Stegostoma tigrinum: one gene and its partner. The protein of the gene in region 2 interacts with the protein of the main gene of each other region in a pairwise test. Links are inferred from orthologs where the notes say so. Each region holds a gene or a part of one and is shown on either strand. Other genes may lie near its edges.

Evidence for each region.
Region 1: the proteins of top3b (region 2) and sprouty-related, EVH1 domain-containing protein 2 interact in binary tests that used the Homo sapiens proteins (3 or more experiments, as listed by UniProt). The link is inferred for Stegostoma tigrinum from reciprocal best matches to the Homo sapiens genes TOP3B and SPRED2.

The regions. Positions count from the first base shown.
Region 1 is NC_081362.1:2,574,447-2,581,992, forward strand, and holds the start of sprouty-related, EVH1 domain-containing protein 2, read right to left. Parts: upstream 3,007-7,546; 5' UTR 2,464-3,006; coding exon 2,438-2,463; intron 1-2,437. UniProt on the Homo sapiens protein: Negatively regulates Ras signaling pathways and downstream activation of MAP kinases. Recruits and translocates NF1 to the cell membrane, thereby enabling NF1-dependent hydrolysis of active GTP-bound Ras to inactive GDP-bound Ras.
Region 2 is NC_081379.1:44,586,743-44,593,635, forward strand, and holds the start of top3b (DNA topoisomerase 3-beta-1), read right to left. Parts: upstream 3,011-6,893; 5' UTR 2,943-3,010; coding exon 2,873-2,942; intron 1-2,872. UniProt on the Homo sapiens protein: Releases the supercoiling and torsional tension of DNA introduced during the DNA replication and transcription by transiently cleaving and rejoining one strand of the DNA duplex.

The sequences.
Region 1 (7,546 bases), on a different chromosome or scaffold from region 2:
TTGAGAGGGGTGGGTGGGTGGGTGGGGGGGGGATTGAGAGGGGTGGGTGGGTGGGTGGGGGGGGATTGAGAGGGGTGGGTGGGTGGGGATTGAGAGGGGTGGGTGGGGATTGAGAGGGGTGGGTGGGTGGGTGGGTGGGGGGGGATTGAGAGGGGTGGGTGGGTGGGTGGGGGGGGATTGAGAGGGGTGGGTGGGTGGGGGGGGATTGAGAGGGGTGGGTGGGTGGGTGGGGGGGGATTGAGAGGGGTGGGTGGGTGGGTGGGTGGGGATTGAGAGGGGTGGGTGGGTGGGGGGGGATTGAGAGGGGTGGGTGGGTGGGGATTGAGAGGGGTGGGTGGGTGGGGATTGAGAGGGGTGGGTGGGGGAATTGAGAGGGGTGGGTGGGTGGGTGGGGGAATTGAGAGGGGTGGGTGGGTGGGTGGGGGAATTGAGAGGGGTGGGTGGGTGGGTGGGGGAATTGAGAGGGGTGGGTGGGTGGGGGGGGGATTGAGAGGGGTGGGTGGGTGGGGGGGGGGGATTGAGAGGGGTGGGTGGGTGGGGGGGGGGGATTGAGAGGGGTGGGTGGGGGGGGGGATTGAGAGGGGTGGGTGGGTGGGGGGGGGGATTGAGAGGGGTGGGTGGGTGGGGGGGGATTGAGAGGGAGGGTGGGTGGGTGGTTGGGGGGGGATTGAGAGGGAGGGTGGGGGGGGATTGAGAGGGAGGGTGGGGGGGATTGAGAGGGAGGGTGGGGGGATTGAGAGGGAGGGTGGGGGGGGGGGATTGAGAGGGTGGGTGGGGGGGGGGATTGAGAGGGTGGGTGGGGGGGGGATTGAGAGGGTGGGTGGGGGGGGGATTGAGGGGGAGGGTGGGTGGGTAGGTGGGGGGGGATTGTGAGGGAGGGTGTGGGGGGATTGTGAGGGAGGGTGGGTGGGTAGGTGGGGGGGATTGTGAGGAGGGAGGGTGAGGGAGGGAGGGTGAGGGAGGGAGGGTGAGGGAGGGAGGGAGGTGAGGGAGGGAGGGTGAGGGAGGGAGGGAGGGTGAGGAGGGAGGTGAGGGAGGGAGGGAGGGAGGGTGGGGAGGGTGTGGGGGTGAGGGAGGGAGGGTGAGGGGGTGAGGGAGGGAGGGTGAGGGGAGGGAGGGTGAGAGGGAGGGTGAGGGAGGTGAGGGGAGGGTGGGTGGGAGGGTGAGGGAGGGGAGGGTGGGAGGGAGGGTGAGGGAGGGAGGGTGGGAGGGAGGGTGTGGGAGGGAGGGTGGAGGGAGGGTGAGGGAGGGAGGGTGAGGGAGGGAGGGTGAGGGAGGGAGGGTGAGGGAGGGAGGGTGGGAGGGGATCGGGAGGGTTAGTTGGGGGGGATTGAGAGGTTTAGTTGGGAGTGGTCGTGTGGGGGATCGTGTGGGGGGGATCGAGGGGGGGGGGATCGAGGGGGGGGGGGGATCGAGGGGGGGGATCTGGGGGGGGGGAGATCGGGGGGGGGAGATCGGGGGGGGGGAGATCGGGGGGGGGGAGATCGGGGGGGGAGATCGGGGGGGGAGATCGGGGGGGGGGAGATCGGGGGGGGGGAGATCGGGGGGGGGAGATCGGGGGGGGGGGGATCGGGGGGGGGGATCGGGGGGGGGGGGATCGGGGGGGGGGGGATCGGGGGGGGGGGGTCGAGTGGGGGGGGTCGAGTGGGGGGGGGGTCGAGTGGGGGGGGGGTCGAGTGGGGGGGGGGGTCGAGTGGGGGGGGGGGTCGAGTGGGGGGGGGGTCGAGTGGGGGGATCGAGTGGGGGGGATCGAGTGGGGGGGATCGAGTGGGAGGGGGATCGAGGGGGATCGAGTGGGGGGATCGAGTGGGGGGATCGAGTGGGGGGGATCGAGTGGGGGGATCGAGTGGGGGGGGATCGAGTGGGGGGGGATCGAGTGGGGGGGGATCGAGTGGGGGGGGATCGAGTGGGGGGTGTTTGTTGGGGTGGGGGGCATCGTGAGGGTTGGTGGGGTGGGGGGCATCGTGAGGTTGGTGGGGTGGGGGGCATCATGAGGGTTGGTGGGGTGGGGGGGCATCGTGAGGTTGGTGGGGTGGGGGGGATCTTGAGGGTTGGTGGGGTGGGGGGTTCTTGAGGGTGGGTGGGTTGGGGGGGTGTGAGGGGGTTGGTTGGGGGGGTGTGAGGGGGTTAGTTGGGGGGGTCGAGGGGGTTAGTTGGGGGGGGTCGGGGGGTTAGTTGGGGGGGGTCGGGGGGTTAGTTGGGGGGGTCGGGGGGTTAGTTGGGGGGGGTCGAGGGGGTTAGTGGGGGGGGTTGTGAGGGTTAGTGGGGGGGGTGTTGTGAGGGTTAGTGGGGGGGGGTTGTGAGGGTTAGTGGGGGGGGTTGTGAGGGTTAGTGGGGGGGGGTTGTGAGGGTTAGTGGGGGGGGGGTTGTGAGGGTTAGTGGGGGGGGGGGGGTTGTGAGGGTTAGTGGGGGGGGGCGTTGTTGCTGAGGCACTCACTGTTCCGGCGGCGGTTCCTCGGTCATTGTGGTTCCCCCGGAGCGGACATTGCTGCAAACTTCCTGGGGCTCTGGCGCCTGTTCGGGTTGTACTGGGAGCTGGAACCTGGGAACCCGGGGGGACACGGTGGGAATCGGGCCCTCCTCGCCTCGGGGCTGCCTAAGGGACACAGTCACATTCTCGGAGCTGGAGGCCGGCTCTTGCTGCACTCTCTGACCGGGCCTGAGCCGCTCCGAGCGGCCGCTCTCTGCACATGAAGCTGCCGCTGGGGCCGCAATCCCCGGGTCTCTCTCTCCCTCCCCCTCTCTCACACACACTCTCTCCCTCCGGCCGCGAAACTGTGCAGCAACAGGGACGGCGGCAGAGCAGAGTGAAGCCCCAGGCCAGAATCCAGAGGCTTGGGGAGGGACAAGTCGGGGGAGAAAGAGCAGCTTGAAATGCTCCCTATGTTTTCACAAACTCAGTTCACTCCATTTTGGATTCAGCGAAAAGGAAACAGGGCGGAAGCAATGACATCAGCCTGAGTCCAAGCAGCGAAAGCTCCCTCTCCCTCTCTCTGCGTGCGCTGCAACCAAAGAGTGCCCTAGCCCCATCCACTTCCCATCCCCATTCACAAAAACACACAGTCTCACACACACACAACAGCCCTAAGCCCGCAACATTGTTACATTGCCATTCAACTGTGCTGGCTACACTTTGCAAACTTGTTTCCTTTTGCGGTTACAACTTGCAAATCCGATTTTCACTCCGCTCCTGCTGTTGATTCTCGTAACTACGTATATATCTGTGCGTGTGTGTTTGTGTATTTAAAATTTGAAGGACTTCCAGAAAGGATTGGAACTGGCGCATTGATACTGAACTAAATCGGATGTGATTGCTATCAGGTAGGAGTAGTTTCACCAACAGGCAAATCCATCTGCAACGGATAGAAGCTGTGCACATTCCGAAGGCTATGTCTTTGTGTGTGTGTGTGTGTGTGTGTGTGTGTGGAGGGGTTCATTGGCAGTTTGCCCTCCAGATTGCATTGCCCCTTAAAGTCACGACATGCAAAGTCTTCTTGGCAAAAGAAGAAACAGCATATGGTTCTGCGGAGATGGTGGTACATTTTTTTGCATGTATTTGGGAAATCACATGATTCCTGTCGGAGATTTTACAGTAAAAGTTCGAGACGAGTCCATAAATTACGCCCCCTCCCCCAATTTCATATCTCTATTTTGTTATCCTTGTCCATTAAAAAATACCATTTTGCTCTCGTTTCGTCACCCCCACCCCGAACCTTTTCCTAGCTGGGGTTTAAAAAGTAACACACCGATTTCTAAGTTGCTCAATCAATCACACGTCGAAGGCAGAGAATGAAGTCTGGCGCCTCCTCCTGGGAGATATTTGACTAACGGGATCGTCTGGAAAAATAAACAACTGCTGTGGAGCAATCAGAAACAAGAGGAGGGGGTGGGCTCTGGTCTTTGGGGAAGGGCATTGAGAATTGGCAACAACAGAGCTTTTGAGTACAAGGGATTCAAAAAAGGTAACACCATTAATTACAACTCAGAGATAGATAACTTTTTGTTCCACAAAAATATTAAGAGATACGGGCCAATGTGAGGTAAATGGCTTTAAGCCACAGATCGGCCATGATCTCATTGAATGGTGCAACAGGCTTAAGGGGCCGAATGGCTCACTCCTGTTTCTGTGTTCCAATGTGGGAAGAGCTTCCTCTGCAGTAGTATGAGGGGTGGAATCACTGACTAAAAGGTGGAGATTTATGGGCTGTTGCAGTTTGCTGGTTATTTGTAACCAGGTTTTATACAGATGTTTAACTCCACCAAAGCGTGAATTGCAGACAGTATGTGCTAAGTTCTGTTTTTTGTTGCTCCAATTGTGCATTTTGAAACTCCGATTCTTTTTGTGAGGTGCCTGTGGAATTCCTTGTGGGAAACTGTGCTTATTTCATGCGCCCATTGCTGAATTTGGTGGGGGGTGGGTGGTTACAGGGTCATTCAGGCCAGAGGAGAATATTACTTGTTGGGAGTAAGTATGATGGCTGTTGTCAAACAAACTTGAATTGTTAGCAGGAAATGTTACTAAGCAGGTTGGGCAGCATCTGCAGAGAACTGAACAGGTTTAGTGACCTGTTTCCTGACCCTTCAATATGATCTGGGAGATGTTGGAGAGCCTTTTCATAAGTGTAGTGCGGCTCTGTTACAGTGCAGAAGGAGGTTATTTGACCCATTGTGGCTATACTAGCCCTTCAAGTGAGCAATTCTCTTAGTATCATTCTCCTCATTATCCTGCATGTTCCTGCTTTTCAAGTAACCATCTAACTCCTCCTTGAACAACTTAATAGGCACTGCTTTCACCACATCATCAGGTGGTGCATTCCATAACCTAGCTGCATACTGAATGAAAAAGCTCTTTCTCAGCTCAGTTTTTATTTCTTTTGCAATTGTCTGTTTGTGCCCTCTTGTCTTAATTCTTTCATGAGTGGGAGCATTCCTCCCTCTCTACGTTGTCCAGATCCCTTGTGACTTTGATCATTTCTGTCAGATAGTGCCTGAAAGTGACCTGAAATGTTAACATGCATTCTTGTAGCAGCCAGAACTGCTGAGCTTTTCCAGCAACTTCTGTTTTTGTCACACCCATCGTTGGTAAACAAAAGTTGCTGGAAAAACTCAGCAGGCCTAGCAGCATCTGGGGAGAAAAAAAAATCAGAGTTAACATTTCGACTCTGGTGACCCTTTTTCACAGATGCTGCCAGACCTGCTGAGCTTATTTTTGTGGCAACTTCCGTCTTTGTTCCGGATTTACAGCATCAGTAGTTCTTTCAGATTTTATAGAAGTGGTGTGGATGGATCCTGTCAATTACAGCGGAATGGGAGCAAGACAAGCAAGCCTGGCGAAGTAAACATTGCATGGTGGAACAAGCTGAAAGGGCCAGATGGCAAACTTCACCTAGCGTTTGTGTTTATAAATGGGACATTCCAAATTGGGAAATACCTCAAGTTTGCAGTCAACAAATGAACCGGATTATGGAAAACAAATGTTTTGCATCTGCAACAATAGGAAGTCTGGACCAATGAGCAAGGAAACACATTAGACAGATACATGTGTTTGCATTAAATGTTACAACAGCCATGTGCACACAATCAACTGTAACAGACTGTCAGGGCTCCAAACTTGGGAATATTATACTAAACAGCAGGTCAGGACATCTGAACAGCTTTGCCTGTAGTAACTACCCTGATTCAGATAAGCGCAGTTAAATGAATGTTTGAACCCCACTGTAGAAGATTTCAAAAGGTTGACACTGGCCTCCAAAGCTGCGAGAAATGGCTTATGGATGAGCTGTAGCGTCTGTTACAGGATGTTGAGTAGCAGCTGGAGTCAATCTTCAGTTCCTGGTGTCTGGAGCACTCATCATTGCTGCACTGTTCTCTTTGTGAGGCAGCCTGTCGACATCTTGCTGCTGCTTCAGGGTGAGAGTCACCCAACAACCTGCAAACACTGTTCTGCTGCTTTCCACCGCACTGGATCTGGGAACATGAATGAAATGGCGTTTCCTTTATAACTGGCAAGCAGGACTGCCATACTCTGAAGGATTTACACTTTGTGCACACTTTTCTCAGTAAAACTGATAAGTAAAAATGAGTTTTCTTCATTAGCATTTCCAGATTTTAGCCAACAACATCACCAGATTGGTTCAGAGACAGTAGGAACTGCCAACGCTGCAGAATCTGAGATAACAAGGTGTGGAGCTGGATGAACACAGCAGGCCAAGCAGCACCAGAGGAGCAGGAAGGCTGACGTTTCAGGTCTAGAACCTTCTTTTTTTTTCAGAAGGAAGGTGTAGACCGGAACTGTCAGCTTTCCCGCTCCTCTGATGCTGCTTGACCTGCTGTGTTCATCCAGCTCCACACCAAATTGATTTGATGTGGTTTAAGCATGATTATTAAGCCTGAAAATTGTAACTAGAGAGAGCTGGCTACACCTCGTCTCATTAATGCTAATTATATCCAATGGAAATATTTATTCATCGGTTTATTTGACATCACATCTGCCCATGCCCATCCATTCAGGACGTGTGTGTTTGTAGTGATTGGCCCACTACTGTCATACCAATGTATAAGTGGCATAATCTGTTTAATATCATTGGACCCATTCATAAGGAGCTGTGTGAAATTAAACATTATCCCCTGAAGAATCTCTGGGCAGCTATCAACTTCAATTGTGACTTTAATCACGACACCTTTGGTGACTGTATCTTGATCTGTCGCGGTCCTAACTCTGAAATTCTGTCCCTGAGTACCTCCACATTGCTACCCTCTATAAGACAAACCTCAAGGATATTCTTTGTGCCCTATACCCAACCATCTTCAGCTGCTTCATCAATGACCTCCCCTCCATCCTAAGGTCAGAAGTGGGGATATTTGCTGATGATTGCATCGTGTTTAGCGCCATTCACAACAACTCAGATACCGAAGCAGTCCCTATTCAAATGCAACAGATCCAGACAATATCCAGGCTTGGGATGAGAAGTGGCAAGTAACATTCGTGCCACACAAAAGTCAGGCAATAACCATCTCCAATAAGAGACAATCTAACCACTGTCCCATTATGTTCAATGGCATTACCATCACTCACTGCCCACACAATCAACATCCTAGAGGTTACCATCCACCAGAATTGGACTCACCATATAAATACAGTGGCTACAAGAACAGGTTAGAGGTTAGGAATGCCGTGGCAAGTAACCTACCATCTGACTCCTCAAAGCCTGTCCACCATTGACAAGGCACAAGTCAGGAGTGTGATGGAACACTCCCCACTTGCCTGGATGGGTGCAGCTCCAACAACACTCAAGAAGCTCAAACCATCCAGGGCAAAGCAACTTCTTGATTGGCACCACATCCACAAGCATCCACTCCCTCCACCACCGACACTCAGTAGCAGCCATGTGTACTGTCTACAAGATGCACTGCAGAAAATTACACTGCATCAAGGATCCGTAGACAGCGCCTTCCAAACCCACGTAGAAGGACAAGGGCAGCAGATTCATAGGAACACCACCCCCTCCAAGTTCCCCTCCAAGCCACTCACCATCCTGACTTGGAA
Region 2 (6,893 bases):
CCCCCCACCAAACCCATGTCCAGGAACTCCCCACCTACATTCATGATACCACCTATGCCCTCCACCTCACCTGAGACTTCCAATTCCCTGGACCCCAAAATGTCATCTTCACTATGGACATCCAATTTCTGACACTTTTAGGCGCCATGCAGATGGCCGAAATGCCCTTCACTTCTTCTTCTCTCACAGACCGAGCCAGTCTCCCACTACCAACACCCTCATCCACTTAACAGAACTTTTCCTTACCCTGAACAACAACTCCTTTAATTCCTCCCACTTCCTAGAAACTAAGGGGGTGGCTATGGGCACCCATATGGGTCCGAGCTACATCTGTCTCTTCGTAGGAAACGTGGAACAGTCCCTTTTCCGCTATTACACAGGCACCATCCCACACTCTTCCTCTGTTACACTGATGACTGTATCAGTGCTAACATGCTCCCACGAGGAGCTAGGACAGTTCATCAACTTTACTAATACCTTTCATCCCAGCCTCAAATTCACCTGGACCATGTCCGATACTTCCCTCCCCTTCCTGGACTTCTCCATCTCCATCTCTGATAACCACCTCAACACCGACATTTATTTCAAACCCACCGACTCCTATGGCTACTGGACTACACCTCCACTCACTCACCTTCCTACAAGAATGCAATCCCATACTCCCAATTCCTCCACCTTCGCCACATCTGCTCCCAAGATGGAGCGTTCCACTCCCATACATCCCAGATGTCCTCCTATTTTAAGGACTGCAATTTGCCCAATCTAATGATCAAAATGCCCTCAACCACATAGCTTGTATTGGCCTCTAACCACCACCCCCCAACAAAAATAAAGACACAGACTCCTGGTCCTCACATATCACCCCACTAACCTTTGTATCCAACACATCAACCTCCACCACAACCCCATCTGCAATTTGACCCCACAACCAAAGAGATATTTCCCTCTCCGTCTTTCATACAGACAACTCATTCTGCAAATCCCTTGTCTGCTCCACGCTCCCCACTAACCCCACCACACCCGGCACCTTTCCCTGCAACTGCAGGAAGTGCTACACCTGCCCCTACACTTCTCCCCTCACTTCCAGGCCCAAAGCAAATTTCCCATATCTGCTAGGGTTTCACCTGTACATCCTACAACCTGGCCTACAATATCCAGTGCTCCCAACGTGGTCTCCTCTACGTCAGTGAGACCAAGCGCAGACTTGACCATTTCGTGGGCCACCTGCGCTCCGTACGTGATAATCGACAACACCTTCCAGTCGCTAAGCATTTCAACTCCCCATCATATGCCTGGGATGACATGTCCATCCTGGGCTTCCTCCAGTGTCATAATGAGGCCACACACAAATTGGAGGAGCAACAACTCATAATACACCTCAGAAGCCTACAGCCCAATGGCCTAAACATTGAATTCACCAGTTTTAAAATCTCCCCATCCCATGTCCAAACCTCCTTCTCATACACGCCTCGATGACCTGACATAACCTGTCAATCTTCTGCCCCACCCTTCCCACTGGCCAATCCCTATTTCCCCACATCTGCAGCCACCACCCCTGCCTCAGGCCCACACATCCTCCCTCTCACCTCCTTGACCTGACACAACCTGTCCTTCTTCTCTCCCACCTATCTGCCCCACCCTTCCCACTGACCAATCTCCACCATCCCCTACATGCATCCACCTATCACCATGCCACCTACCTTCAATCAGCCACACCCCTCCTTGTTCTATTTATTTCCCGGCTCCCTTTCCCCTCCCCAATTCTGAAGAAGGGCCCTTTCCTATTCCTCTGAAGCTGCCTGACCTGCTGTATTTCTTCAGCTTCACACCATGTTGACTCTGGCTCCAGCATCTGCAGTTCTTGCTATCTCCAACTGACACCTGCCCATGCTTCCTGATCAGCACAAAGGTCTGGCTAATTCATTTACTGATTTTTAATCTAGACCCTACCTGTAATTGTGATATTCAACAAGAAAGTTACTGAAAGAGTATGCATTCTGAGCATCATAATAGTGAGTGACAACTCAGTTTAGCGGTAAGTTTTTCTTGCAAGTTGGAACAATAGGGACTCAGACCCTGATTCTGCACATAATCTAGGTTGTCACATTATCATAACTGAGGGAGTGCTGAATTATTGGGAGATGCCATTGGCCAGATGAAATGTTAACTTGAGGCTGATCTACTTGCTCAATTGGGCATTCAGCATAGGAGACCTTTCAAACCAACCAATCCATGCTGACCATAAATCCTCATCTAAACTAGTCCCGCTTGCCTACACTAGGCCTGTATCCCTACGTACGTTTCTTTCATTTATTTAAATGTTGTAACTGTACTCGCATCCACCACTTTCTCTGGAAGTTTATTCTATATATAAGACACTCTGCAAAAATATTGCCTCTTGTTTTCTTTTTAAATCTTTCTCTTCTAACCTTAAAGTGCCTTCTAGTCTTGAAATCCCGCACCCTAGAGAAAAGGCAACCGCCGTTCACCTTTATCCACAAGATTTTATATACCTCTATAAGGTCATCCCTCATGAAATAGCACACAACCCGATTTAGCAAAGGTTAGAAGAATTTGCTCAAGTCTCGGAACCAAAACTTAATCATTCATTAAAGATAGATGATCCAGTCACTCATCTCAAATGTTGTTCCCTGGTTGTAATTTCCAATAATCTGGCTGTACTAGTACAGAAGGCAAATTTTACAAAGCGCTTTAACGTGGCCTCATGGTACATCCAGCTAGTTTCGAAACGAAGGGAAACCGTAGGACCAATGCCAAAGCTGTGCCTCAATGGATCTGCCGTGGAAAAACTGAGCTCGTAGGAACAAGCCCACACATTCGTACAGATTACTGCTGATCGAGGCTCACTTACCCCGCGACAGGATCTTGGCGATGGATTGAGCCAGAGAAGGTTTCTCGGCGACCATCAACACCGTCTTCATGATGCCGACCTCGCTCAATACAACCACCTCCTTCAGGCCGTCGCCATGACACCCACGCACGACCCCTTCCTGTGCTCTCGACTAGACTTCCGGTTCCGGCCGATTCCCATGGTAACCGCGAGGCCCTTTGCTCAGTGCAGATCAGCGCTGGAAGCTGTGATCATACCGCATGAGACAGGGCACCTTCCAAACAACAAAAATGTAATTTCTCCTCTACAAACTTAATTTGATAATAGGTAAAAATTGACGTCCCAACACACCTTATTTCAGAAACAGAGCACTACGGATGCTGTTCTGTGGAAGGGTCACTTTTTTATTTTAAAGCCGTGTACTGCAATTTTTGTTTTAAATTTAGAGCCATGTTGTACAAATAATGGATCTGAACTAGAGCATCTTGCCCAAGCATCTGCTTTGGTTGTTCTGACATCGCAGCAGCCCTATTCTGCCCACATATGAATTTGGTTAACAATGTGAACATGAGCAGATAATCTGTTATTTGTGGTCTTGATAGAGGAAGGGTTACATATTGGCTCTAGCTCATCAGTGCAAATTTCCTTCTTCTATGAGCCAGACCGAATCTCCTTAATATATATCGAGGAGACAGCTTAGATTCTACCTTTTTCTCTTTATAGAGGTAAGTATAAGGAGCTGCATTGCATATCTGATTCAATTGGTCAAACTACTATGCTTTAAGCAAAACACACTTGATTCTGGCACCACAGTTTAGAAACAGAAACAAAAACAAAAAAAATGGCATAACCATAACTCTATCTAGATACATAGCAAAATTATATATTATTTAACAGCTACTCCTACTGTTCCAATGTAACAGCATCCCATAAACACACCCTTGGCACAGGTCAATTCAGCAAAACAGATTTCCATCACTTATGATCTTATCCAGTCCAGGAGAAGGAACACTGACTGAACATCTTTAACTACAGAGTGAGAACTGTATCTAGCATCTTAGTCCAAACCCCAGCTTCAACAACTGAAAGTATAAACTAAAGCCCTGTATCTGTGTAAGCCTTGTTCAAACCCTCCTGCTTTTTTTGTTTAGTTTTTTGTTTAAAAAATCCAAAGCTATTTAATCTTCTTTCCATGGAGCAGACCCCATGGTACCGTGTTTACAACATCTCTCTTCCTGAGGAACAGGACAGAACAAATCTGTCTTAGGCATATCTTGTCACATTTCTTTTTCAAAATAGTGTGTGGGATCTTTCATATCCAATTGAACAAGCATATCGGAAACCAAATTAACTTCTCATCCAGGAGCTAGCACCTTCAACAGTGCAGCACTTCCTCCATATTGCACCACAGCACCATCTTTGTGCTCAAGGCTTAAACCTTGGAGTGGGACTGAAATTTAGAGGCCAAGAGAGTTTAACTGAGCCACTGCTGAAGTTTAATGCCTTGGCTGAAAAATGGCCTAATGTTCTTCATTGCAATAGGGAAGTATCAACCTGTTATATGTTTGAATCTCGAGCGTGTGACTTGTAACACAGAATTCCATAACTCAAAGGCAAGTGTGCTACATGCTAAGCCAGAGCAAATGTACAAGTTGTCATTGGCTTCTGTCTTATATTGCTGCGACCATATCAACTTACTGAATACTGAGGTGGGGAAGAAAACAGTACTCCTCATAATACCAGAATTTTTCAACAATCGGCACACATGAGACTGACACCATGTCGCCATTTTTCAAAATTTTTCTGTCTGAGATTAAGGCTACAGTTCTTTGCTGCTTGATCTGATAACACTTTCAAATGTTCATATACCATATCATTTAAGGTCAGCTTCAGTATTTTTAATCATCATTTGAACTGTAATCAGGATGGATCCTCAGTTATGCCACCTCAGTGAAAACCAAGATGTCAAGTGTCTCTGTTAGTAATAGTGAGATGCCATCTTTTGGATAAGACCTCAAACTGAGACCCCTTGAATGAAAGCACACAGTTGTATGACCAACACTTCAAAGAAGAGCAGTAAGTCCTTCCCAGTGTCTTGACACTACACTTCAAGAAGGATGTGAAGTAGCTAGAGAATTTAGGAACAAGAGTAGGCTATTCAAGCGTACTTCCATCCCCTATTCCCAATTCCTCCGCCTCCGCCGCATCTGCTCCCACGATAAGACATTCCACTCCTGCACATCCCAGATGTCCAAGTTCTTTAAGGACCGCAACTTTCCCCCCACAGTGATCGAGAACGCCCTTGACCGCGTCTCCCGTATTTCCCACAACACATCCCTCACACCCCGCCCCCGCCACAACCGCCCTAAGAGGATCCTCCTCGTTCTCACACACCACCCTACCAACCTCCGGATACAACGCATCATCCTCCGACACTTCCACCATTTACAATCCGACCCCACCACCCAAGACATTTTTCCATCCCCTCCCCTGTCTGCTTTCCGGAGAGACCACACTCTCCGTGACTCCCTTGTTCGCTCCACACTGCCCTCCAACCCCACCACAGCCGGCACCTTCCCCTGCAACCGCAGGAAATGCTACACTTGTCCCCACACCTCCTCCCTCACCCCTATCCCAGGCCCCAAGATGACATTCCACATTGGCAGATGTGCAGGTGAACCTCTGCTTAATGTGGTATACTGCATCCACTGTACCCGGTGCGGCTTCCTCTACATTGGGGAAACCAAACGGAGGCTTGGGGACTGCTTTGCAGAACACCTCCGCTCAGTTCGCAACAAACAACTGCATCTCCCAGTCGCAAACCATTTCCACTCCCCCTCCCATTCTCTAGATGACATGTCCATCATGGGCCTCCTGCACTGCCACAATGATGCCACCCGAAGGTTGCAGGAACAGCAACTCATATTCCGCCTGGGAACCCTGCAGCCATATGGTATCAATGTGGACTTCACCAGTTTCAAAATCTCCCCTTCCCCTACTGCATCCCTAAACCAGCCCAGTTCGTCCCCTCCCCCCACTGCACCACACAACCAGCCCAGCTCTTCCCCCCCCCCCCCCCCCAAACCCACTGCATCCCAAAACCAGTCCAACCTGTCTCTGCCTCCCTAACCAGTTCTTCCTCTCACCCATCCCTTCCTCCCACCCCAAGCCGCATCCCCAGCTACCTACTAACCTCATCCCACCTCCTTGACCTGTCCGTCTTCCGTGGACTGACCTATCCCCTCCGTACCTCCCCACCTATACTCTCTCCACCTATCTTCTTTACTCTCCATCTTCGGTCCGCCTCCCCCTCTCTCCCTATTTATTCCAGTTCCCTCTCCCCATCCCCCTTTCTGATGAAGGGTCTAGGCCCGAAACGTCAGCTTTTGTGCTCCTGAGATGCTGCTTGGCCTGCTGTGTTCATCCAGCCTCACATTTTATTATCTTGGAATTCTCCAGCATCTGCAGTTCCCATTACCTCAGTATGATGGTTGATCTGTTTGTGGTCTCAACTTCACTTTCCTGTTTGCAAGAAAAGAATTACAAGAATGGTTGTAAAAGCCAGTTGTGTATTCACCGTTTCTCCACATGAGCATCATGATTTGGTGCCATTTCCTGCCTTCTCCACATACTCAAGCACATTGTTTCTGTTTAAATAATCATCCAGTGCTGCCTTAAAAGCCTCAATTGAACCTGCCTCCAGCGCATTCCACACCTAAACCATGCATTAGCAATTTTATTTCACCTTGTCTTTTGTTTCCTTCGGAAATCACTTTAAATCTGAGCCCTCTTATTCTTGATCCTTGAATAAGTAGGAACAGCTTATTTACACAATCCAGTCCACTTGTGATTTTTGAAAACTTCTGTCAGATGTGTTTTTAGCTTTCTTTCTCTAAGCAGAAAAGTTCCATTCTCTCCAATCTATCATAACTGAAATTTTCCATCTCTGGAATCATTCCTGTAAATCTCTTCTGCAGTCTCCCCAATTTGTTCATATCCTTACCATAGTCTGGTACCCAGAACTGTATGCAAAACTGAGGTT